Linked DNA regions of Drosophila melanogaster. The protein of the gene in region 1 interacts with the protein of each later gene in a pairwise test. Each region holds a gene or a part of one and is shown in the gene's direction. Other genes may lie near its edges.

Evidence for each region.
Region 2: the proteins of Taf3 (region 1) and koi interact in a two-hybrid assay, tested with the Drosophila melanogaster proteins (one large-scale study listed by BioGRID).
Region 3: the proteins of Taf3 (region 1) and TwdlQ interact in a two-hybrid assay, tested with the Drosophila melanogaster proteins (one large-scale study listed by BioGRID).
Region 4: the proteins of Taf3 (region 1) and mri interact in a two-hybrid assay, tested with the Drosophila melanogaster proteins (one large-scale study listed by BioGRID).

Annotation. Positions count from the first base shown.
Region 1 is NC_004353.4:460,805-468,652, reverse strand, and holds the start of Taf3 (TBP-associated factor 3), read left to right. Parts: upstream 1-1,824; 5' UTR 1,825-1,983; coding exon 1,984-2,152; intron 2,153-3,337; coding exon 3,338-3,856; intron 3,857-3,912; coding exon 3,913-5,598; intron 5,599-6,151; coding exon 6,152-6,265; intron 6,266-6,324; coding exon 6,325-7,148; intron 7,149-7,239; exon of another isoform or gene 7,240-7,605; coding exon 7,606-7,848. Other genes in the region: CG33941 (uncharacterized protein), read right to left, coding at 659-802.
Region 2 is NT_033778.4:6,809,165-6,817,058, forward strand, and holds the start of koi (klaroid), read left to right. Parts: upstream 1-1,854; 5' UTR 1,855-2,011; intron 2,012-2,623; exon of another isoform or gene 2,624-2,737; 5' UTR 2,738-2,764; coding exon 2,765-2,919; intron 2,920-3,367; exon of another isoform or gene 3,368-3,530; intron 3,531-3,616; coding exon 3,617-3,952; intron 3,953-4,008; coding exon 4,009-4,589; intron 4,590-4,872; coding exon of another isoform or gene 4,873-5,150; exon of another isoform or gene 5,151-5,648; intron 5,649-5,895; coding exon 5,896-7,395; intron 7,396-7,452; coding exon 7,453-7,565; intron 7,566-7,628; coding exon 7,629-7,841; 3' UTR 7,842-7,894. Other genes in the region: CG15237 (uncharacterized protein), read right to left, coding at 53-192, 260-347, 406-534; ubl (ubiquitin like), read right to left, coding at 928-971, 1,037-1,175, 1,235-1,273. UniProt on the Drosophila melanogaster protein: Component of the LINC (LInker of Nucleoskeleton and Cytoskeleton) complex involved in the connection between the nuclear lamina and the cytoskeleton. Is required to nuclear migration in eye and to anchor klar in the nuclear membrane.
Region 3 is NT_033777.3:26,692,012-26,695,163, reverse strand, and holds TwdlQ (TweedleQ), read left to right. Parts: upstream 1-1,573; 5' UTR 1,574-1,640; coding exon 1,641-1,655; intron 1,656-1,807; coding exon 1,808-2,530; 3' UTR 2,531-2,618; downstream 2,619-3,152.
Region 4 is NT_037436.4:198,372-202,652, forward strand, and holds mri (mrityu), read left to right. Parts: upstream 1-1,802; 5' UTR 1,803-2,100; coding exon 2,101-2,689; intron 2,690-2,799; coding exon 2,800-2,997; intron 2,998-3,069; coding exon 3,070-3,387; intron 3,388-3,445; coding exon 3,446-3,660; 3' UTR 3,661-3,781; downstream 3,782-4,281. Other genes in the region: rno (rhinoceros), read right to left, coding at 1-216; Gk1 (glycerol kinase 1), read right to left, coding at 3,843-4,058, 4,118-4,281.

The DNA of each region.
Region 1 (7,848 bases):
AAGGATGGGAAAACGAAAAAAACTAATTTTAAAGGATGGACAAACGATAAAAACTAAGAATACTGATTGGGCAAAAGTTTTTTTTTATAATATTTAGTTTTAAGAGATGGTCAAAATAATAATACCGAGGTTAACTAGAACGTCTCATATTTTCTAAAGTATTCACTTTTTCAAAATTGAAAAGAGTGGCCAAACGTGGGCAAATAAAGACAACAAATGAGCAAACGATTCCAGCTTTTAAATTTCAAAAATTCCATTTTTTCGACTCCAGCTTCTTTGAGCTCGTACATTATGCGCAAAATGAGAAATCTGCGCACTGAAGTGTATTCGTGTTTTTGCTAGTGGTTGATTGATTTTTTGTGACCGTATGAATATTGAGGGTGCGTCGTCGTTGGAGCAAGCGTCGCAACGGCATGAAACAAACTCTTACAGACTCTGTGACTGAGTCTTAATGCTTAATATCAATATTCTAGTTTTCATTGTTCCCGAGATCACAGCGTTCAGATTGATAGTCAGACGGACTAACCAGTTACTCGATAACTGACCGACTGCATATGAAATCTTCAGTATATGTAAGGAAATACGATACCTATACACCTATTATGGTTAACATAGGTGTAAACGTGTATTCGTTGGGAATCAGATTATCCACCCTTACCTGATTCTTAAGAGTTTCGTCAATGTGAATGGTAGACGTCTTCCGAATCATGTCATGAGAATATTTAAAGTTAACGGGTCCTAAGATCCCGCTCTCTATGAAAAAATGTTTTGCTTTATCAATGCTCGAGTTCAATGGTTGCATTTTTTAGTTCTTATTAGATTAAAAAAGGAGTAAAACGTTGGTCAGATCAATGTTGATGGAGATCTTCTTACTCATTTATACTGAGTATTTCAATAACTAGCTGAAAAGTTTAAAGGATTTGAGCTTTAAGTAGAATAAAACTTTTTATTAGACTTACACATATACCCAACACATGCAAATGTTCATATAGTTGTTTTATTTGTTAATTTTTATATTTTACATTATTACAAATACAAAATATTAAGTGCCGAAGATCTGTCGCACGCTTCTTTGTGTGAATACTCGACTAGAACATATATGGGAAACAATACCTAACCCAATAAATGTCTTAAGATATAAGTTTCTTCTAAACTGATCGAAAATATAACTAGTATTCTATCAGTAGTTTTGTGTCATTATACATTATACCCTCTTTCCACTAAATTACCTGCATATATACACATGTTTGGGATATAGTTCACATGATATTTTTGAAGCGATTTTAGGCTTAATGTTATTTTATTAAATTTATATTTATATATATTATTTATATTTATAATTATATTATTATTTATTCGGTAATTTCATAGCTGTTCTGGGCATTACTTTCTTTCCACAATAAACATAACATTAGATGCTGTTAAAATTTGTAGTAAGTAATCGTAGTAATAATAGTAATAGTAGTAGTAAAACTAAAACATTTTTACGGGTAACAACACAAGACTCTCGTTTCACTCTGCATTCAAGCGCTCTATTATTAAACAAGCTCTAATTATATTTCCATCGTTCAATATCTATTTTAAAGAATAGAAGGATTAGAAAACTTTTTCGTCTTATTTTCAAAATTTGTGTCTTATTCGAACACTAACAGCGAACATACCGAAAGCAAACCTTTTATCTGCCCTTATAACCACTTTCAAACCACATAAAAAATTGCAGTTTGTTTATGTTGGTCAATCAATTGAATTTGATTGAACCCCATGATTACCACTTTTGGCATACCCCAAATATCGATATATTTCCCATCAAAGGCAAAATCGATAAGTTATCGTTAACTAAACATCCACAGATTGTAGTTCGTCTAATAAAGGTGTAGACACCAAGTCAATTAATTTTAATAACAAGAGGAAGTTCGTGGGACGGTTAAACCTATTCACAGCATTTCCAAGGTTTTCTAAAGAAGGTGTACCTCATGAAAGAACATGATGGCAGACAGATACGCTTCAGATTTGGCCCTTGTTGTCGTTGCGCAGATAACGCAAACTATTGGTTACAGCTGCACTCTAAGTGCACCCTTGGAGTTGTTGCAAGACATATTGCAGAAGTTTGTACAGGAGTTCGCTCGAGACATGCATAGACATATGGAACACGGTAAGTGGTATAGACCCTCAAATCAACGGAACCGATCATGAAATACAACAAAGCCTGAGTAGTTATAGTCGTTACTTGTAGAATAAGAGATTCAATAAAAAGTATGTGACATATATGTACATGTACATAAATGTATAACTTATCATCCCTGCAGTTCCATCAGACTATCATTAATAAATCATTATTTATCATTAAAACAATTTTGTTTGGAGTTAGGGCATTTTGCTTTCAGTTGCGTTAGAATACCGGTCAACCTGTCCGTTTAACCTTAAAGTAAAATATATTAGTATAATGTGTACAGAAATGTATTACGAAAAATGTACATCGCTTCTGCGAGTAGTACGTGTTGTTGCGTGTAAAATGAATCCATTGCCATTGGAATTTCCTGATTAAGCTCGCGCCTGCTACTCGCATAAATCTAGTCCCAGTTATCCGCGAAAAAGGAAGCGTGCCTCTTAGAAAAGTAATCTTTTAATTTATTTCTTTCTTTTATTGTTATTTCCCTTTTCCTCGCCCAGTCCCTTTCACCTACATCAGTATATAATTTCTCTAGTTCCGATGCGCATTAAAAATTTAAAGTTTCTTACGAAACTTATGTGCTCGGCGACTTAGAGCGTCAGCTTAGCATTCGGCTGGAAATAAAAGATCCATAATTTATTGCTGATTCCCTGCTTGTGGCTGTGCAGCCAAAGCAGTTGGTACTGTGGGCGAAACCGATGATCTTGGGATGTTTTTAAGGAGCGATGAATTGTGGGACTGCCGGGGTCTCGATTGGGGATTATGAAACCTCAATAGGCATGTAGATTGTATTTTTTGCAAATTATTATTTCATTAATTGTCTTGTAAACACCAAAAAAAAAAAAACAATAAATCTTTGATTTATATATATCTTAGATTAAGATATATCTTAGATTAAGATATATTTTAGATTAAGATATATCTTAGATTAAGATATATCTTCCTTGTAACCACCGGAACAGAAATAAAAATAAATAGTTGAGGAACTCGACTAAAGCGTTCTCTTATATTTTCTTTTTAATTTTGCTTGGTATGTTACTTAATAACGTTATTTATATGAGTTCAAAAAAATCTTATTAAAACCAAACAAAAAATCAAAAATGCTTTGTTTATTTGGATAAAATTTATAAAAATATTAATTGACAAGTATATATATTACTAATTTAGCAAATCGGATAGAGCCGAACCTTAAGGATGCACGCTTAAGTATAAAAAATCTCAGCATCAATGTTCAAGAACTATTGGACTACATAGGTAATGTCGAGCCTGTTGGATTCATCCGGGATGTACCACAGTTTCCCATTGGAAAATCTGTAAACATGAACTTCCTTAAGCCTGGAAGCGCTGAAACTCTAACGCGACCTGTCTACATATTTGAATACTTGCCACCAATGCAGGACCCCGAACTTCGTGAAATTCCAGCCGATGTTCAAAAGGAATTTTCGGAAAAGCAAGAGTTTTGTTCAAAAGCAGAGTATAGTTCAACAAACGCAGCTGATAAGTTAGGCGCCAAGCACATTGATTCTATCTCTCCTAATACTGTGATAAATTTCCGGTCGAATGCCTTTGAATTGGACGTTGGGAGCTCAGTCCGCGAAATGAGCAGCGTGGTAATGACAACAGGGGGATTCATAAGTCCAGCTATTGAAGGCAAGCTCCCCGAAGATATCATACCGGATATAGTTGGTACGACCTATCCTTATACCACAGCTTAATAAATTTTCATGTATCGGTGTTTATAGAAAAATTTTTAGGTTTGGATGCACCCTTTTCACCGACGATAATTGTAAATTCGTTACAAAAATCTCCACAACTGGCGCTTTCTGACAGAGACAAAACAGTAAATCCACGAAAAATCATTCCCTCAGAAACTAAAATCTTCAAACAAAATGCTGCATTATTGACAAGTGGACATTCAGAGTCTTCAATAATATATGCGTCTAACAACCATACGATGCTAACTGTTACAACACCTAAGAAGAATAGAAAACAGAAACATGATTTAATATGCGAACCCGGTCAAAGCGAACTTCTAACTAATCCGTTTGAAAAAGCTCAGGAAAAGTCACAGAGAAAAGCTTTAAAAATGTATAAACAAACCTCAAAGAACCAAAGAGACAGCTCAATTAATCAAATACAAAACATGAAAAAGTTAAAAAAAAAATTTAACCGCGGATCCTTCGATCCAAATAAAAAACATTTAGAAAAAATATTTAAGAAGCAGTCCAAACTTAAGCAAAATGATCTTCAACTGGACATCGACGAAAAACACTTTTTGCAGAATTCTCAAACTACGAGCGGCCTTGCCATAAAAGCTAACTCAAATGAAAATGCTTTACAAGCTGATATCCCTAGTCAGCCGCCAACAGTAACAAGCCAGATTGAAAATAATTTTCGAAATTCAATTTATCCAGTGCAGCCATCTGTAATTCAACAAACGCAAGTGCTATTGGCAGAAAAAAAAAGTGGATCAGAACCAGAACGAAGTAAATTGGACATTTTTAAGAAAATTTCTAAGCCACGTACTCCACGTCCAGATATTGGGGCGACTTTAGTACCTCCTGGAACCGGGGTATCTGTATTTGGAAGCACAATGACCCCTTCAGCATTAATTAGTCTTCCATCGGGGACTACTATAACTCCTACACCTTCACTTGGTCTAAATTCTGAAAACAAAAACGTTCCGAGTATGAAAATCAACCCTTGCAATATATTCGATGGAACTATACCTTTAACTAAAGCAGGCGTTGAAATGTCAATTATTGATTCGCCAAAGCCAAAAAAGCGAGGTCGCAAACCTGGAGGAAAAAATGTAATAAAACAAACAAATGTTGTATCGCAACCTTTAATTAATAAGGTCGAACGGAAAAAGTCAAGCCAAGCTATTACACTGCCTCTATCATCATCTCCAATGATAATAACCCAAAGTTCTTTAAACGTCTCCCCGCCAACAGAACCTCTCAACTTGTGTAATACCGAACAGCCCTCGAATAATTTTTTGTCAAACCTGTATGCAAAAGAAAAAAAGGACAGAAAAAAGTACAAATCATTACCAGAAAATGTAATGCAATTAGACAAGAGCTGTTCTCCTGAAAAGGCATCAACACTACATAATTCTATTCGACCCACAAAACAAAATAATGATGTACAATGTTCAGATAAATTTGTGACTATATCCAATGCTTTGTCAAATGCATCAATTTACCCTGGAATTCAAACAGGAATGGTTCCGTTGCTTCCTTTATTGCAATTTCCACCACGACCTGGTCTTATTCCTACTGGACCTGGGCTTTTTCCTGCAGTCACTGGTTTAGTTGGCTTCGGGAATCACGGTAACAGAATACCTATTTCGCCGTTCATAGATTATCCTGGACCAGAAGAATCAGTTGCGGATACTGTTCGATGTCCACCAATTAAGGATTCTCCTGGTACGTCAAATGAGTTATTTTTATACGCATTGCTCGTAGTATATATACGTAGTATATATTTTCGTGACCAGGATCAATAGCCGAGTGGATCTGATCCTGTCCTGTCCGTCCGTATGAACGTCGAGATCTCATGAACTATAAAAAGCTAGTAGGTTGAGATTAAGCATAAAGATTCTAGAGACATAAACCCAGCTGAAGTTTGTTGACCCAAACTTTACTTTACCATACCAGTTCGAGTATCACAGCTCGAAGAATATATTGCTTACATAAAAGTCTCGGCAATATCTTAATTCATTACAGCAAAAATACTAATCTGAAACTAATCATTGAACCGTTGAATGTAGAAAATAGGTATAGGTACACACTCAAGAAGTGGTATTGGGAAGCTTCTAGATGGGTTAGTATGAAATATTTGCGTTTGTCATAAACTAGATATTTGGAGGAGCTCAAATTTTTTTTTTATATTGACAATACGTACCTACCTACAATATGTGAATTATTTGTCGACCAAAATATTTAAATATTTATAATGATTAGAAAAAATAATTTTTAGTTACTGATTCTGATCAATTTCTGAGCCGATCTTCCACGCAAACTGACTTGCAAATGGATCGAAACTACTGCAATGTTGCTCCATTAGTACCTGACTCAATGAAATTCGCCGAGTGTAAGTTTAACGGTAAATATATTTGTAATTTAAAAATAACTTATTACTTATATCTGTAGGTAAAAGCGTATCTTGTGCCAGCACAATATTGGAAAACCCATCTGCACAGGCTACAAGCAAAATAAACACGAAACCGCTTTTGGAGGCTTCTGGAAATCCTGATGATCCAATAGAGGTTTCAGATGATTCAGATGAATCAATGCACAACAGGCAGATGGTTCAAAGAAAAACCCCAATATCATCACCAACTTATGTTAAAACCAGCTTCGCAGAACTAAATCCCTCCTCGTTTACGTCAGCTGCATCTAATGGTGAAGAAAAATCCAAAATGGATCTAAGGAATATTGTGTCTCTAAGCTCTAACGAACCACTTAAAAAATTTAAAAAACTTGTTAAACAGAGTTTTCCCGATGTAAAAAGCGTACCCCACACGCCAGCTTCACATTCATCATTTCCACAATTTAACTTGCCTAATTTTATGGGAGGTGACAAATTCAGTTTAGCTGGGGGAGCAGATCTTATTCCTCTGTCGAGAGTGAGTGATTCGGAATATTCCTCCAAAATAGTACCATTCAGTAGCTTAGGTGGAACCATACCGAATCAAATCAAAATTTCAGAAGAGCACAATATTTTTTCTACCTTTTCTAACTACGAAGATATTACAATAACACCAACTGGATTAACGTCGTTGGAACCGAAAATGCGGAAACATCACAAAAAGCTAAAAAAGGTTAAAGAAGGGAAAAATAAAAAAAAGAAAGAGAAAAAGGACAAATCAAAGAAAGCGGATCAGATTGGCTTACCATCTTTCAAATCCGACCGGAAAATAAAGGCCAATGATAAAAGGCAAAAAAAAGAAAAGAAAAAGGATAAAGATAAGCAGGTTTGTGTCAATTCTTTATTTATAAAAAAATAGGTGTTCGTGTTGTGGTATTTGGATCAGATATGTAGATACGCCGGAGCTGATAAGCAACCTTTGCGATAAGTACGTACACAAACTCATTTGAAAACAGCAAGTTATGTGGGAAACATTTTTAAAATCATGAATTCTGTGAACATATTCCGTATAATAACATTAAATTATGCATTATGCATTATACATTATACATTATGTTCCAAATTTGTATTAATACTTATATAGACTGTTGTGACTAATTATAACATCGAAGCCTACAGCTTGGTATAGGTACAAAAACATCTTAATCCTACATAAACATGTAAAGCAGCCAAATCTTTTAAAGTTATATTTTTAGTTCTTACAAATTTTATTTTAGTCTATACACATATCTCAGCAAAATCTTTTAAAGTTAAATTTATAGTTTAATCAATTCTTATTTTAGATTTTAGTCCATATACCAGATGACACAGAAGAATTTGACAAGGTGCCTTTAGCTAACAACGATGAACCTGTATTGAAATCAAGTTCCATGACAATAAATCCATCGTTAGGTGCCGCCACAAGTGGAATATCTCCAAATCAAATACCAAAACTAACACTAAAACTTAGTGGAAAATCTACATTATTTTCGTCTTCAGAAAAGGAGATGACAGATGCAGGGAAACTAAAGCAAACCACGATTTTG
Region 2 (7,894 bases), on another chromosome or scaffold:
TATCCACCAGCCGGGCGACATTGTGATGGGCAATCAGGGCACTCCCATTCATTTAGGGGGCTGTGGGTGAGGTCTCGTCGTTCATCTGAATGTCGTCGGCGGAGTAAAAGTCCTGGGTTACCGGGATGACGCGGTCGTTGGTCTCGTCATCCTCCTCATCGTGACTGTCCGTGTCCTCGCTGTCGTCGTTGGCTGCACAAGGGCAATTGGACGTAAAAACGATAATGGTAATCCGAATGCAGTGTCCTGCCGTACTCACCATCCTCGTCGTCGGTCTCAATTCCGGGTATGGTGAGCATTTTGCCCAGCGGCTGCAGATCTGTGCCGGCCGTCTTAAGGGACTCTCGCTGTACGGTTTAAGTTTATAACAATTTATACAGAAAGCGGTGTCTGGAGAGAACTCACCCAGTTGCTCCTTTCATCCTCATAACGCCGCGTCTGCGATTCTTCGTTTACGGAGGCAGGAGCCATGTCCAACCAGTAGCGATTGGCCACGGAGACTTTGAGCGTGGGAAAGAATGGAATCATTGACATTTTCGACGGAATCTTGAATGCGCTGTTTTCAATATTTGTTGTTCTTTCTCTGGAAGCCTTTGATGCGATCTGGCAACGCCGCAACATACGCTGTAAATAATACCAATTTTACAGGGGCGTAGTCGTAGGGGCGCATTAAACGCAAATTACAATATTAATTGTAATTGTAATTCATCAATCTAACTATGTATTTTGTTATTGTCAAGGGAAGTCCGATAACCAAGGGCTTAATACAGCTTACTCAAAAATATATATCTTCACTATTACAAATTGACCTTAAGAATCAGAACATAACCAAAACGAATAATATATATTATTCAAAATCTTTTTATTTATTAAAGAAGCTATAAAAATTGGACAAACTAGACACAGGAACGGTATTCCCTTGCAGTTTTATTGGTAGTAAAGTTCCAGATTCATGCCATCGTGAATTTCATCTAAGAAAGCGAAAAAGAAATGCGGGTAAAGCAAGGCGTTACAAGGACACTAAACAAGGGCTTACAGTCAGATAGGCGAATCGGGTCCTTGAAGATTGTGTACCACTTCTTCAGGACAATCTTCTCGTGCTTTGTGCCCGTTTGTGCCGCGATTAGTTTCTTGAGGTCCCCAATCGTGTCGTCCGGGTTGCACTTGACGCGCACCTGTGGGTTAATCGTTGGTTAACGATGCTTGCAGTTGCCTTGGGTACTTAGCTGCTTACCTTCTTGCCAAGACGATCGTTACACGTTATTTCTATCATATTTTATGGCTTTGCTAGACAAATCACAACAATAAATTCTTGATTTGTTGTGGTATTATTGCTTAGGGTTGTCAAATACCCTTTACCGAATACCGAGTGGTTTGAGGGATCGCTAATTGTCCGCAATGCTATCGATATTTTATTTAATTTTAAATATGTTTAAATAACAATCATATAGAAAGTCGAAGTTAAAGATATCAGAAGTCTGAAAGTATACTTAGAAAGCTCAATTGCTTGTCATGACGCAAATCTATCACATCCTTGTAAAACGATAATATTTGTTAACAAATTTATATTTAAATTTCAGTCTTCTTCTTAGTTATCAAGCCAGAAGTCGAATGTTTCGGCGTTAATAGAAAAATAATGTATGTTTGCATATTTGCACACCTCATTCAAATTATTTTTCTTTGTTGAACAAAAGATAAAAGTGTAAAAATTAAATTTTTTATTCTTGACCCATTATTTCTCTTGGTTAATGAAAACAAATTCCGTTTCTCAACGTTCCCTTTAATAATCCATGTGAACAATCGATAGGCGGCGAAACATCGATGATTGCTAGAATAATCGATGTGTCTTCCCCGTTCATTCGAATTTTTTCGCCGCTCGGAATAGACGTGATTTTGCCGTCGTGACGGTGGAGGCTATTTTTAAAACGGTCGCGGCGCTTGCAAACAAAATTCATATCCAGCTATTCAACGGAGGAATTCATTAGTACGGCAGTACAAGAAATATTACTAAGTATGTCACATATTTGCGGGCAAACTGCCGAAAGCACTGTGCGGAGTTTTTGTTTGTGTGCGTGCGTGCCTCATTTTTACATTCACGTACATACATATGTACATATATGTACGCTATGACGCAGCTGTGGAAAACTTGTTTGGGTTTCCATTTCACCGAATCACGGAATCAACGAATATTTGCGCCTGTGCTGCGAACTCATTTTGGGCAGTAAGCCATTGTATTGATTATCGCGCGTTGTTTGTGGATGGCGTGGTCCGCCGGAGCACCCTGTAGCGTCTACATCCCTACCCCGCTCCCTGGAGTCCGATATCTGTGCGCGAAAGGCCGGGCGGGCGTCGTTTTCGGCTATGTGGCCCAACACCAATGGATCCCCACGGTCACTGGCAGCAATTCGCGATCCGAAATGCTCCGCCCTATTTTTAGACGCGGTCTTTGCGGCCTGCCTACTTACCTACCTCCCCAATGCATTCTAATTAAAAACCGGGCACTGCGCTCATTTCCACACGCATTGCATTGCATAATGCGGCATTAATGTGGCGGGGAAAGCTCGCTTCGGAAAGCACTCGAGCATTGAAGTGAAGAGACCGAATGTTTTCCAGCTGCCCAATTGTAAACAACCCACGCCTAGCACGCACACACACGCACACGCACACACACACAGACTGGTTTTAATGTTTACTCCAAATAAATCGTTGCCCATGTTAATTATTTGTGTCTTCGCAGGGCCCGAGCACTGGAGGGAATCTAATCATGAGCGAAAATACATACCAGATAGAAACGCGTCGGCGGTCGCGTTCCAAGACCCCCTTCCTGAGATCGAGCTGCGACCATGAGAACTGTGAGCACGCCGGAGAGGAGGGGCATGTGCACCACCTCAAAAGGAAATCGGCGGCCCCCAATGTGCAGTAAGTATCTGGGATACTCCCGAAATAGGCCTACGGACGAAGCCCTTTATCGCGAACCCATAACATTATTTTTAGCCCTTATAAGTAGTAAAATTGTAAGCATACAATATGTTTACGGAGTTCGAGTCAATTTCATTTTGAGAATTAGGAGAATTCAGTTTAAACTCTATAATTATTTCCTATTTGGTCCTGAGTCACCTTTTTCTATACTGACCATTGGTTTCAGTAAGCAAGTTGGACTGTAGTAAGACACATCCATAGCGACTGTATGTTTGTATGCCGTGTGCTGCCGCCATGACGTCACCTTTTTGTTATTCACGCTCGCCGCGAATTTGAATTTCGAAGCGGGTAGAAAACGAAGGCAAAGCCGCATACAGGGTGCAGCATCTGGTCGAGCTTCGTTAGTTTTTGGCGCCTATTTCGAGAGCGCCTGGTCGGTCTGATGATCAGTCTTCAAGACTCGATGACGACATTCGGAGTCCAACGTCGGCCGTCAGAAATCGTTTTCACGTTTTAGCCTCTAAATCGAGCATGCTGGGGTGGGCTAACAGTCGTTTGCGCTGAAGGCCAGCGGCGGTTATAAGCATATTTTTGTGTTTTTGTTTTGATACGTTGTACTCGTCGTTTCAAACGATTCCGAGCACGTTATCACGGACTTACTGAAATATTTTTCCCAAATCTTACCTCTTCTCTGCAGAACGATAATAGAGGAGCATATAGTGGAGTCGAGTATCAGTAAGAAAACCCGGGCAAAAGCGTTCGCCCAGCTGACCTCGGACTATTCGAGCGACGACATGACTCCGGATGCCAAACGCAAACAGAACTCGATCACGGCCACAGTCACGTCGATTCTCACCAAGCGATCCGGCGGCGCCACATCGACACCGCGGAACAGAAGCCAGCTGGAGACCACACAAAACACGCTGAATTCCGCCCAGGAAAAGCTAAACCAATCGAACGGTAACCTCAGCTCGGGAAATGTCAGCGATTATCTGGCCTACATCGAGTACAGGGATGCTGGTGAATACTGGAAGTGAGTGAATCATTTCTACACATTTTAAACAGTATACTAATGATGCTATTTTGCAGCAAAACTCCCAAGACGGACTATACCTACTCAGAACTGTCCCCTCACCGACGCCAGTTGGCGCCAGGAATTGTGGCCATGCCCAATATGTCCAGAAAGAGCCTAGAGAACCATAACGATCGAGTCAACTACATGGTCCAGCAGAACCCTGCGCAAGAGGAGTTCATCCGCCGCCGCTACCAGTCCAAGTATACCCAGCAGGTTAACTATGACTCCGCAGATGAACTGGACGCCACATTTGGGCAGCAAAAGCAGAGCTGGTGGCTTATCCGCCTCATCCAACTGGTTGTTAGCAGCATTACCACCGTGTGGAGTCGGGTGACCAATCTCTCGGCCACGGAGACGACTGCCTATCAAAACTACCACGCTAAGCGCCAGCAGAGTCAACAAGTTGGACTTTGGTGGAAAATAGTACAGACCATCGGAGGAGGACTTGCAAGTTTGCTGCGCTACCTGTATGTTTTCATCGGATCGGTGCTGAGTTTGGACACGTGGTTGCTGCGATCCTCGGATGCGGAAAACAAGTCGAAAAAGCGCTTCCTCATATTTCTGCTGATTTTGTTGCCCTTGCTGCTGCTGTCGGGTGAGTAGGATTTAAAGCACCGTCCGATTTTTGATGTAAAGTAAAATATGTTAGAGCGTGTGCCGTGACCTTGTACCGGTTCGAGAATTCATACTACATGCATATAGATCACCTCCAGTCGTTGTATTTATAAACTCGTCTGGTCGTTGGCAGTCGCGTGACGCCATCGATAATTTGTTAGTAAAATCCCGCGGATCAGATTTAAGTGGCCATGTGATGACATATTTTATTTTCCATTCACCGTCTGCCAAGGTTAAACGCCTAATTTGCTTTGCCTTTGCAGGTCTGTTCTATTACATACACCCCAATGAAACTTTCCCACCCAAATCCCTGTCCGAATACACATTCACCCTACCTGAGTTGCCCAAAATCGATGTGAAAGACTACCTGAACCAGGAGCAGTTCGAATCGCTACGCTCTCAGGCCGCCGAGCATGCGGTCCGCGTTCGCGATTGGGCCGACGACTACGTTTTGTACTTGAGAACCATCGGTCAGAACGTGGTCAACAAGGGTCGTCAGTTATTTCAGGGCGATGATAAAGTCTATTATGAGCGTGTGTAGGGAACATCTGCAATGGGCAGGCTACAGCTACCAGATTTAGTGATCTGGTTGGGTGCAACGCCCCTTGCACTTAGACAAATATGAGAAACTTTCTTTATGAACAATATGAGTACAAAATAAAGCATTTGATCCGTTTTTTGTCCGTCTGCTTGACCCGCAGTTTTGCGCACTTACTTTATAGTTTTTCGTCCCGTCATTTACCCACTTCATAGGCAAACCCACCTCTCATACCCCACCATACTAACCGACACAATTCCCAACAAAATGCAACATCACAGGCTGATGGGAGAAGGATAGAGCTCGCCGCTGTTCAAATTGTAAAACTTTCGTAATCGTTAACTTCATTCTTGTCCAACAATTAGGGCCGTTATCCGTCTGGGTTAGTGCCCTAACTAAATCTTACTTGTTGTTAAACAACGTTTAATTGTAATTTGTGCACTGTTTGCTTTGTAATAGTCTATACAAAAATAAATCGCAAACAATTTCATATGAAACATCAAGTACAAAGAAGAGTTGTTTGTTTTATTTGCCATTTGTTGGAAGTTCGCTAAATGGTAAGTAAGATGTAAACAAAGCAATATTAGTTGGCCAGAATCGAACTCTATCCTTCTGCATTTGTGTTGGAATAACCCCAAAAACGAGTTCCCTGTTACCTCAGTCCGGTTGATAATTGAAGTTGGTAGGGACTGTAAATGTAGAAGGATTGCCAACTAATAGTGCTATGTTTAATTTTCTCCTTCCCCAGGATGGTTGCTCTTGCAGGAGGATCAACGTAGTGCTTACGTTCAGCGTGCGGAAGCACTGTTGCCGCTGCCACTATCTATTTTCGGCTCCCTACGTAGTCGATTTTCAAATGCTGGAGCCACCTTGAAAAGTTGGATGGAAGTGCCCACCGTCAGGAGTCCCCAGCGGGAAGCCGAGGCCATTAAGGTAAACATGGCCAGCATTGAACAGAACATCCAGAAAGCCTTGACTGCCGAGGAATACGAAAATATCTTAAACCATGTAAACAGCTACGTGCAGCAGTTGGTCGAGCTGAAAATGCAGCAGCATTCCAAGGAGCTCGCACCGCAACAGATTGAACTCTTTGTTAAGCTGATGAAGGAAAACCTCAAGCAGATTATGTACAAAACGGAGCTAAGCGAAAAGGATTTGTCTGATCTGGCCATAAAACTGAAACTGGAGCTGCAAAGCTCAGGCGGTTGGCAAGATGGAGCGAAACTATCACAAGCTAACTTAGAGGAGATAACCAAGCTAATTAAAGCAGAGGTTCACCTCCACGAATCGCACTACACCATTCAATTGGACAGGATAGACTTTGCATCCCTGCTGGAGCGTATTCTTGCTGCGCCAGCATTGGCAGACTTTGTAGATGCTCGAATAAGTCTTCGGGTGGGAGAGCTCGAGCCAAAGGAGAGTTCCGGTTCCTCAGATGCAGAAGTCCAAATTGAGCGTCTGAACAGGGAAATCGCCTTCATTAAGTTGGCTCTCTCTGACAAGCAAGCGGAGAACGCCGATCTGCACCAATCAATCAGCAATCTGAAGCTCGGCCAAGAGGATTTGCTGGAACGCATACAGCAGCACGAACTTTCCCAGGATAGGCGCTTCCACGGGTTGCTGGCTGAAATAGAAAACAAACTGTCTGCGCTTAACGACTCGCAGTTTGCTCTTCTCAACAAGCAGATCAAGCTATCCCTTGTCGAAATTCTGGGCTTTAAGCAATCCACCGCTGGCGGTTCCGCTGGCCAATTGGATGACTTCGATCTGCAGACCTGGGTACGCAGCATGTTTGTGGCCAAGGACTACCTGGAGCAGCAGCTGCTAGAGCTGAACAAGCGCACCAATAACAACATTCGCGACGAGATTGAGCGTTCGAGCATCCTGCTGATGAGCGACATTAGCCAACGACTCAAACGGGAGATTCTTCTGGTTGTGGAGGCCAAGCATAACGAGAGCACCAAAGCGTTGAAGGGCCATATCCGCGAAGAGGAGGTGCGCCAGATAGTCAAGACGGTGCTAGCTATTTACGATGCCGACAAGACGGGCCTGGTGGACTTCGCCCTGGAGTCGGCGGGCGGCCAAATCCTTTCCACGCGTTGCACTGAGAGCTACCAGACAAAGTCAGCCCAGATATCGGTGTTTGGAATTCCACTCTGGTATCCCACCAACACGCCGCGGGTCGCCATTTCACCCAATGTGCAGCCAGGGGAATGCTGGGCATTCCAAGGGTTTCCCGGATTTCTAGGCAAGTCGCGGGTAAATAGTAATTGCTAAAACAGTCCTTATAGTTTTCTTCCCACAGTGCTAAAGCTCAACTCGTTGGTGTACGTCACTGGATTCACCCTAGAGCACATACCGAAGAGTCTATCCCCCACAGGAAGAATAGAATCAGCTCCTCGCAACTTCACTGTCTGGGTAAGTTTGACTAAGGGTGAAAGGAAGTGGTGCATTTCTAATACGACTTATCCATCAACTCAGGGCTTGGAGCAGGAGAAGGACCAGGAACCCGTATTGTTCGGCGATTACCAGTTTGAGGACAATGGTGCTTCCCTCCAGTACTTTGCCGTTCAAAACCTGGACATCAAACGGCCGTACGAGATCGTCGAACTGCGGATCGAGACGAACCATGGCCATCCCACCTATACATGCCTCTACCGGTTTCGCGTGCACGGCAAGCCGCCGGCCACATAAATCTGTTCAAATCTCTTCTAGTGACCTAAGTACTGCCAGGTGTACATAATGTC
Region 3 (3,152 bases), on another chromosome or scaffold:
TGCTTGGCAACAAATTAAATGAATTCGTCGGTGCCAATGGGCAAAATGATTAAATTAGAATAGCGTTTTGCTCGAGTCCCCCTCGAGGCCGTTTTCAGGATTTCATTTGACCTTTAACAAATTATGCATATTTATAAATGTAAATACCGGCCACTGGCCATTTGGAGGCGAAGCGAAGTTGCCCACGTTTGGATGAGACTGAGGATGATGAGCAGCCGTCGGCAGCTGTGGTCATCCCTGATGTATGACTCCTCATTATGCGCATAAATGGATATTGTTGGGGCCTGGGCGAGAAGCCTGTTGCTCCTGGCCATTGCTCCACGGCCTGGCTGCCTGATGAAATGTTCTGGTGATTTAGGCCTATAAATCTCAGCCGCACAATGCCGTGCACTGAGAGGAAAATCCATATTATAATATATACCAAATTTAAAACGATGTTAAACCACTTTACTATTGATTATATACTACCATGTTATTAAAATAACTGAAACCACTGGGCACATTTTGACATGCAAACTTTGTTAATACTCATCAAATTTGTTGCCGTGTGCATCTTAACTGGTTTATGGTGAATTCAATTGGTAGCTCGTTCGTTCTTGAGACCACCTTATCAATTAGAGCACATCGCATCAGCATCTGCACACACAGAAAACCAAACACCCAACCACCCACAGATAAACACTCTGGAGATTTATGTGAAACAATCAGAACAATTAACTGGCCCAAAATGTGCTACGTCGAAGGAAGTGAGCCGTTTCGCATTTGAATCTGAGTGTGTGCATGTGTCTATTTATTGTTAAATATTGTTTATGCAATGTCTGCGTCTGTGTCTTGCTGTTTCATTTATGCCTAATTGAAGGCATTTGTTGTTGGCTAGAAACCAGGAAACCCAATGCTCGGATAAACAGCAGCAATGTGTGAAGATTACGGACGGATATTTCTTGGCCGGCTAGGGGGATATTCCAATATTGGTTAAGTCCACTGAAACACTCCTTGACGTGCAGCAAAAACCACAATTGCCGTCGATACTCAAGCGATGACTGACGATATTGATGGACTCGACTCTACGATGTGGTTGAAAGCGAGCTTTGAACCGGGTTCATAACCTGCCGCAAAAGATGCAAATCGCAATCGCTCGGCTAATTAATTAATTATGCATATTTTGCATAGTTTTTGTGGAAGTATGCGGCTTTGATGTTCGTCCGCCCAAACACGAGTAGTTCCGCAGATTTATGTAAGACAAGCAACGCCCAAAGGTTGCATGGTTTGGTGAAAAGATAAAAAAAAACAAACTGGTTCCGAGCGGTATCCCCAATTCCCGTAACCCGTAACTTGAGCCGGGGTTTTGTGTCAACGCTTAAAAGCTCATTTATCTCTGATTAACTGTTGCCAATGTGCGAAGTTCGATGGTTGCAGCAACCGAAGATGAAACGGAAACCGATGCGATCCCGATCCCGATAGCCAAGTCAAATCAAAAAACGCTGGCACATTGCAGGCCCATCATTTGTCATATTTCCAATTTCCCATTTCGCGGGCTTGTATAAATATCATCGGAATGCAAACAACAAACGTCAGTTAGCAAACTAAAAGAGTGGTAAACAGATCCTTTGCACTAGACATCAAATATATATCGGCTCAAGATGCGAGGATTTCTGGTGAGAAATTAAAATCAAAGACAAGAACATAAGTGAAACACAAACTAAAGTGAACTTAATTAACAAAGTTTTCAAATCCGTATATCAATTAAGAGTGTATATCCATGTATCATGTAACTACTTTCTAAACAAAATAATTTTCTAAATTCCAGTTACTCTTACTCATTGCTTCCGTTTCGGCAGCAAAATTGGGCTACAATTACCAAGCTGCTGCTGGCGACCGTCGTTTTGCGGGACTCATCGATGCGGAGGCCACAGGATTCAGCTCCACATCTACGCAGCAGCAGCAGCAGCAACAAGCGCAACAGGAGCTTGTGCAGCAGAACACGCAACAACAGATTCCAGCTGCTGCGGATGAGTTCAGCAAGGAGTTCTACACCTACGCTGCACCGGAGGAGGAGTTTGCGGATCAGGAGGCTACCGAGCACATCGCCAGCATGCTGAAACGCAATCTCCGCGTGCTGTTCATCAAGTCGCCGGAACACCAAGGTCTCACCAACGCAGCCCTCCAGTTGGCCAAACAGGCCAGCGAGCAGCGGACGGCCATCTATGTGCTCAGCAAGCAGGCGGATGTGAGTCAGTTGGCGCAGCGCCTGGCCAATGAGAATCAGGCCCAAAGCCCCAAGCCGGAGGTGCACTTCGTCAAGTACCGCACCCCGGAGGATGCGGTGCGTGCCCAGCAGCTCATTCAGCAGCAGTTCGACTCCTTGGGCGGCAGCTCCCGCAGCTCGGACGAGGGTGTCGCCCCCGTTTTGGACTTTAGCTCAGCACCAGCGGCCATAAGCGTCCAGGAGCAGAATGAGGCCCAAAATCAGGTTCAGGCAGTAACTCCTCTCACAAAGTATTTGCCAGCGGCATTGCTGCGCAACAAGTAGTTTGATATCTATATTATTGATTATACTTATTTAAGAGTTAGTTTTATGCATCTAGAAATACAAAGTATAACAACGAAAATAAGCGCCCACAGACTTTTAAATATTACTAGAACCGCCATTCGGAACGAGAAGAGGTTTCAGTATGTGGAAACATATTAACAGCTTAACGAACTGAACACTTGTGATCCACTAAAGTTTGCCCTTTTCGCACTGCTAAATTGAAAGAGAAGGGATGTAAACGGAAATGTCATTGACAGACTTCTAACCAAGAGCAGTGACAGCTTTAACATGAAACCTTAAAGGCGATTATCGTGCAAATACAATATGCAGCAAGGGGCAGGAACCAGCTGTTTCCCTCCCATCCACTTCCTGGCCACTCAAGAGCTCCCTCTTCCCGCCATCCGTCCGCTGAGCATTATGACTGGAGGCCAGAGGGATCCTGTCATGTGCCTTACTTTTCCTTGCCCTGCTTTCCTTTGCGAGGACGACAACGAGACTCTGATTCCTATCTCGCATGTTTCTGTCATATTTCATATTTTAAGTGCCCTCGGGCAGATGGCAACCAGAGCCCACACTCATGAATAATTTAATAATATAATAATAATTTCGAGTATTGAAAACA
Region 4 (4,281 bases), on another chromosome or scaffold:
GCACAAAGGCAGAACTGGCACACGCTCCGATCCTGTAGCTGGACCCGATCCAGTCACTTCAGCTACTGCTGCCGTAGTGGCTCCATTAGGTGGCCTACCTTTGCGCCGCTTGGTGGGCGGCGGCTGCGGCTCAACATCCTTGCGCTGATGCTGTTGCGGCGGCGGATGGTGCGACTGGTGATGCTGCTGATTACCGCGCTTACCTCTTTGTGACATTTTTCATTGGTGTTGATTGGATATTTGTGTGTTTTTGCTTCGATTGGTACCTTGTCCCTTGTGTCTTGTGCTTGTTAGAGAACGGGTTCTTTGCTGCAAGACCTAGAAGTAAGAAGGCAAAAGCAGCTTCAATACGTATTTCACGCGATTTATTTACTAACCAAATTTACTTACTACATGCTTAAGGCCACAGTTGGCGACACCACACCGGCTGCTGCTGCTGCGCTCTCCTGGATGTGGTGCGGTCGTGATTCTTGGTGGTCCACCCTTTGTGCCCCGTGGACATGGACGCCGCTGCTGCCCCAGCCCTAATATCCAGTAGCGACGCCACTTTGCAGTCCTGTGTGCTCCGCACTTCTCCACGGGCGAGTTAGTCCACTTCCACTGCCACCTTCCGCTTGCTGCCTTTTGTTATTGTTCGTTGTTTATCCACAGACTTTTGCAAGTTTTTCTTTGGCGTTTGGCTCACTGGTTTGGATTCTCGACGAGCATTCGCTAGTCTGGTGGGAGAGAAGGCATATGTTTGTGGGTTATTCGCTTATATTAGGAGCGTTCCCAGTAAGTGTCCACATTTTCTATGCTTTCCGAAAATACACAAAAAATATAGAAAAACGTTCAAGCTGCCAATAGGTGACTGGTGCAAAACCCACAGGCGCCCTCCCGCTCGCACATAGCACGCTCGTTTAAGGGCGCGCTTACTATGCGCGTGAGTGCAAGCAGGAGGCAAGCAGGTGGCGTTCGTGTTGCATCCGCCAGCTTATACACGGCACCCAGCATACCCCTCCGACACTTCACTACTCAGAAGCAATCAAAGTTTTTGCACTTTTTTTTACACTTTTATTATAACAACTTATTTGTTATTGCTATCCGCAAACCTAGACAGCCACTCTGCTCGTCGCTAGCGCTTCCGCACGCGACACGCCCACTCAGGGCGCCACTTTCGCACTGCCCATTCTTGGGGGAGTTGGGATTTTGTTATATATTTTACATTTGGGTTTTTTGCCGCCGCAGACACACACGCCAAGCACTTGTTACTGACCGAAGACCGCTCACAGTCTTCGCATTTCGTGAAGCGTCCGTATCAAACTCACGTTTCCCAAAATCGCATTTGCGTTCGCAGGAATTACAATTCTTTTGATTATTTATTTTATTTTTGAGCAAAAATTATTTTTCTCAGATCGCCATGATGAACGGTTGCAAATTTAAACTATCGAGTGCATTTAGTCGGTGGTCGGTATCGATACACAGCTTGGGTATATACAGAGTTGCATTCGGCCCAACGCTGTATTTTGTTTTAACAACATTTAATTAATTTCCACAGAATTTTCATATTAATTTGTATTTGAAAAAAAAAGTTATTTCCATTAAGTTAAGATATGTTAATTAAGAATTTTCTTATTATTACCTCTAAATATTATAGATTTTCTTAACTTAATAGAAGTTAATAATTATGTAACAAACAATGTCGAAATGATGAAATTACAATCTTTTTATTTTTTTAGAGAGGAATTTTTTATTCGTTAAAAAAAACCCGATAAGCTGAAAACAAACATCGCGATTGAAGATAAATATCGGTTAAAAATATGTTATTGTGATTACAGAGGAAAACTATCGACTGAGCGCACCCAGGAGCCCATCTCCAGCACCAACAAGAAAAAATATGTATATTTATAACTATATGTAAAAAGGAAAAAGTCGCGTCGCACAAAGGTAACGTGAATACTATTTAATCGGACCTCTGATGCAGCGATAAGCAGGCTTTTTTTCAACGGAGCCTCGCTAATTTGACCGCCCTCTGCCAGATTGTCTTTGTCTCTCTCGAAAAGTCGGTGGAACGGTGTTGTACTGGAATATTTGAAGAGTGGCTCATCAAACGCAACAAACATGTCAAACACTCCAAGTCTGAACAGTAGTAGTAGCAATATCAGTAGCAAGGCGCCCCTTGCCCAGAAGCAGGACACGTACAGTAGCGACAGCAGCGAGGAAGTTCTCGAAACAGCCGAGGAGCGGAGGAGGCGCATCCTGAAGGAGCGCAGCCGGCTGAACCGTCCGCAGCACAATATGTCAGGCGGAGGTGCTGTGCCCAAGCACGACATAAAATCCCCTTGCGGAGCATCTCCCAGCTGCCAGGCAACTGGTTCCGGAATGGGCCGCCTGCCGCTCCCTCCCGAAAGGATCACCATGCTGGTGGACGGTGTGCGCTTCACGGTGGAGCAATCACTGCTTACAGCACATCCCACCACAATGCTTGGCACGATGTTCGGCTCCGGCTTCCAGTTCGCTCATACCAACGAGCGCGGCGAGTACGACGTTGCCGACGGCATTTCGCACTTAGTGTTCAGAGCCATTCTGGAGTACTACAAAAGCGGTGTTATCCGCTGCCCGCCCACTGTTTCGGTACCGGAACTAAAAGAAGCCTGTGATTATCTGCTCATTCCCTTCGACGCAACCACGGTGCGCTGCCAGAACCTAAGTGAGTATAACGCGAACTATTCCTGCCAGGGCGAACCTTAGTTGTGGCCACCTCTGCTTGTTTTCCGTCTCTTTCCTTGTAACATGCCCTCTGTTATGTTTGACATAAAGGAGGCCTTCTCCACGAGCTTAGCAACGAAGGAGCGCGACAACAATTTGAACTCTTTCTTGAGGACCTAATTCTGCCCCTCATGGTGGCCTCGGCGCAGCGCGGGGATCGAGAGTGTCACGTTGTGGTGCTCCTTGAAGACGATATGGTCGAGTGGGATGAAGAGTTTCCGCCTCAGATGGGCGAGGAGTATTGTCAGAGTGAGTGTATTTAAAAAATGTGTTTGCATTAGTATCACGGAAGTGGAAGCAACACTAACATTTCTAACGCAGCCGTGCACAGCACTGCCATGCACCGATTCTTCAAGTACATCGAGAACCGCGATGTGGCCAAACAGGTGATGAAGGATCGCGGTCTGAAGAAGATACGCTGTGGCATAGAGGGATACCCCACCCACAAAGAGAAGATCCGAAGGCGTCCCGGTGGACGGGCTGAAGTCATCTACAGCTATGTGCAGCGACCTTTCATCCACATGTCCTGGGAGAAGGAGGAAGCAAAGAGTCGCCATGTTGATTTCCAATGTGTAAAATCCAAGTCTGTAACGAATCTAGCGGAAGCAAATGCAGATCCGCCACTGGAATTGGACGCAAGTGCGTAAGGCTCGAAACGGAGAGTAACAGCTCCCTTAAAGCCCAAATTCGTTTTCAGGTGGAAATCCGATTCCCCCTATAGCAGTGGCTAATCCGCATCCCAATAACGCTGAGCTCGCTGCCGGTATGGCCGTCGCACCCGCAGCTATAGGCGTGGCTGGTCCAGCAGTCGTGGTAGCCGTCGACGAGGCGGCCGGGGGCGTTGTAATGCTCAACGAGTTGGACCAGGCAGCGATCGCTGTTGCCGTCGGAATAGTTGATGAAAATATGTAGATCAACTGACCGGCTGGTAGTCGGAACACACTGCCAGAGCATCACAGCGCACAGAAAAACACTTTACGTTTTTAATTAACATTTTTATATGTATATGTAATAAATGGAAATTTCGAATACGAAAAACCAAGCAATTGATTTACGAATAGAAGAACATGAACGTTACCAGACATTAGCTGTGATCACGCTCCGTCAAAGGCCTCCCGTTCGCCCTGTGGAAGCGTCGAAGTCTCCCAGTTCAGTGAACGATCGATAGCCATTTTCCACTTTTGGTAGCGCAGGTTGCGATCGGTGGCACTGATCGATGGCTTTATGGCTTCTCGGGGGCCAGATTTAGAGAGTGGAGCCTCCATTTGGTATCGGTTTTCAACGGCTTTGTAGGCTGCCATTGCAGCTCCCTAAAGCATTTTTGAAGCATTATTGAAGCTGCATTTACATCACAAGTTAAAGTACTAACCAGCGCTGTTGTCTCTGCGATCTTCGCCCGGAGTACTTGAATTCCTACTAGGTCGGATTGAAGCTGCAGGAACAGATTATTCACAGTCATGCCCCCGTCTACCATAAGCTTGGCCAGTGGAATCTTGCAGTCCTTGTGCATCGAATCGAGAATATCACGGACCT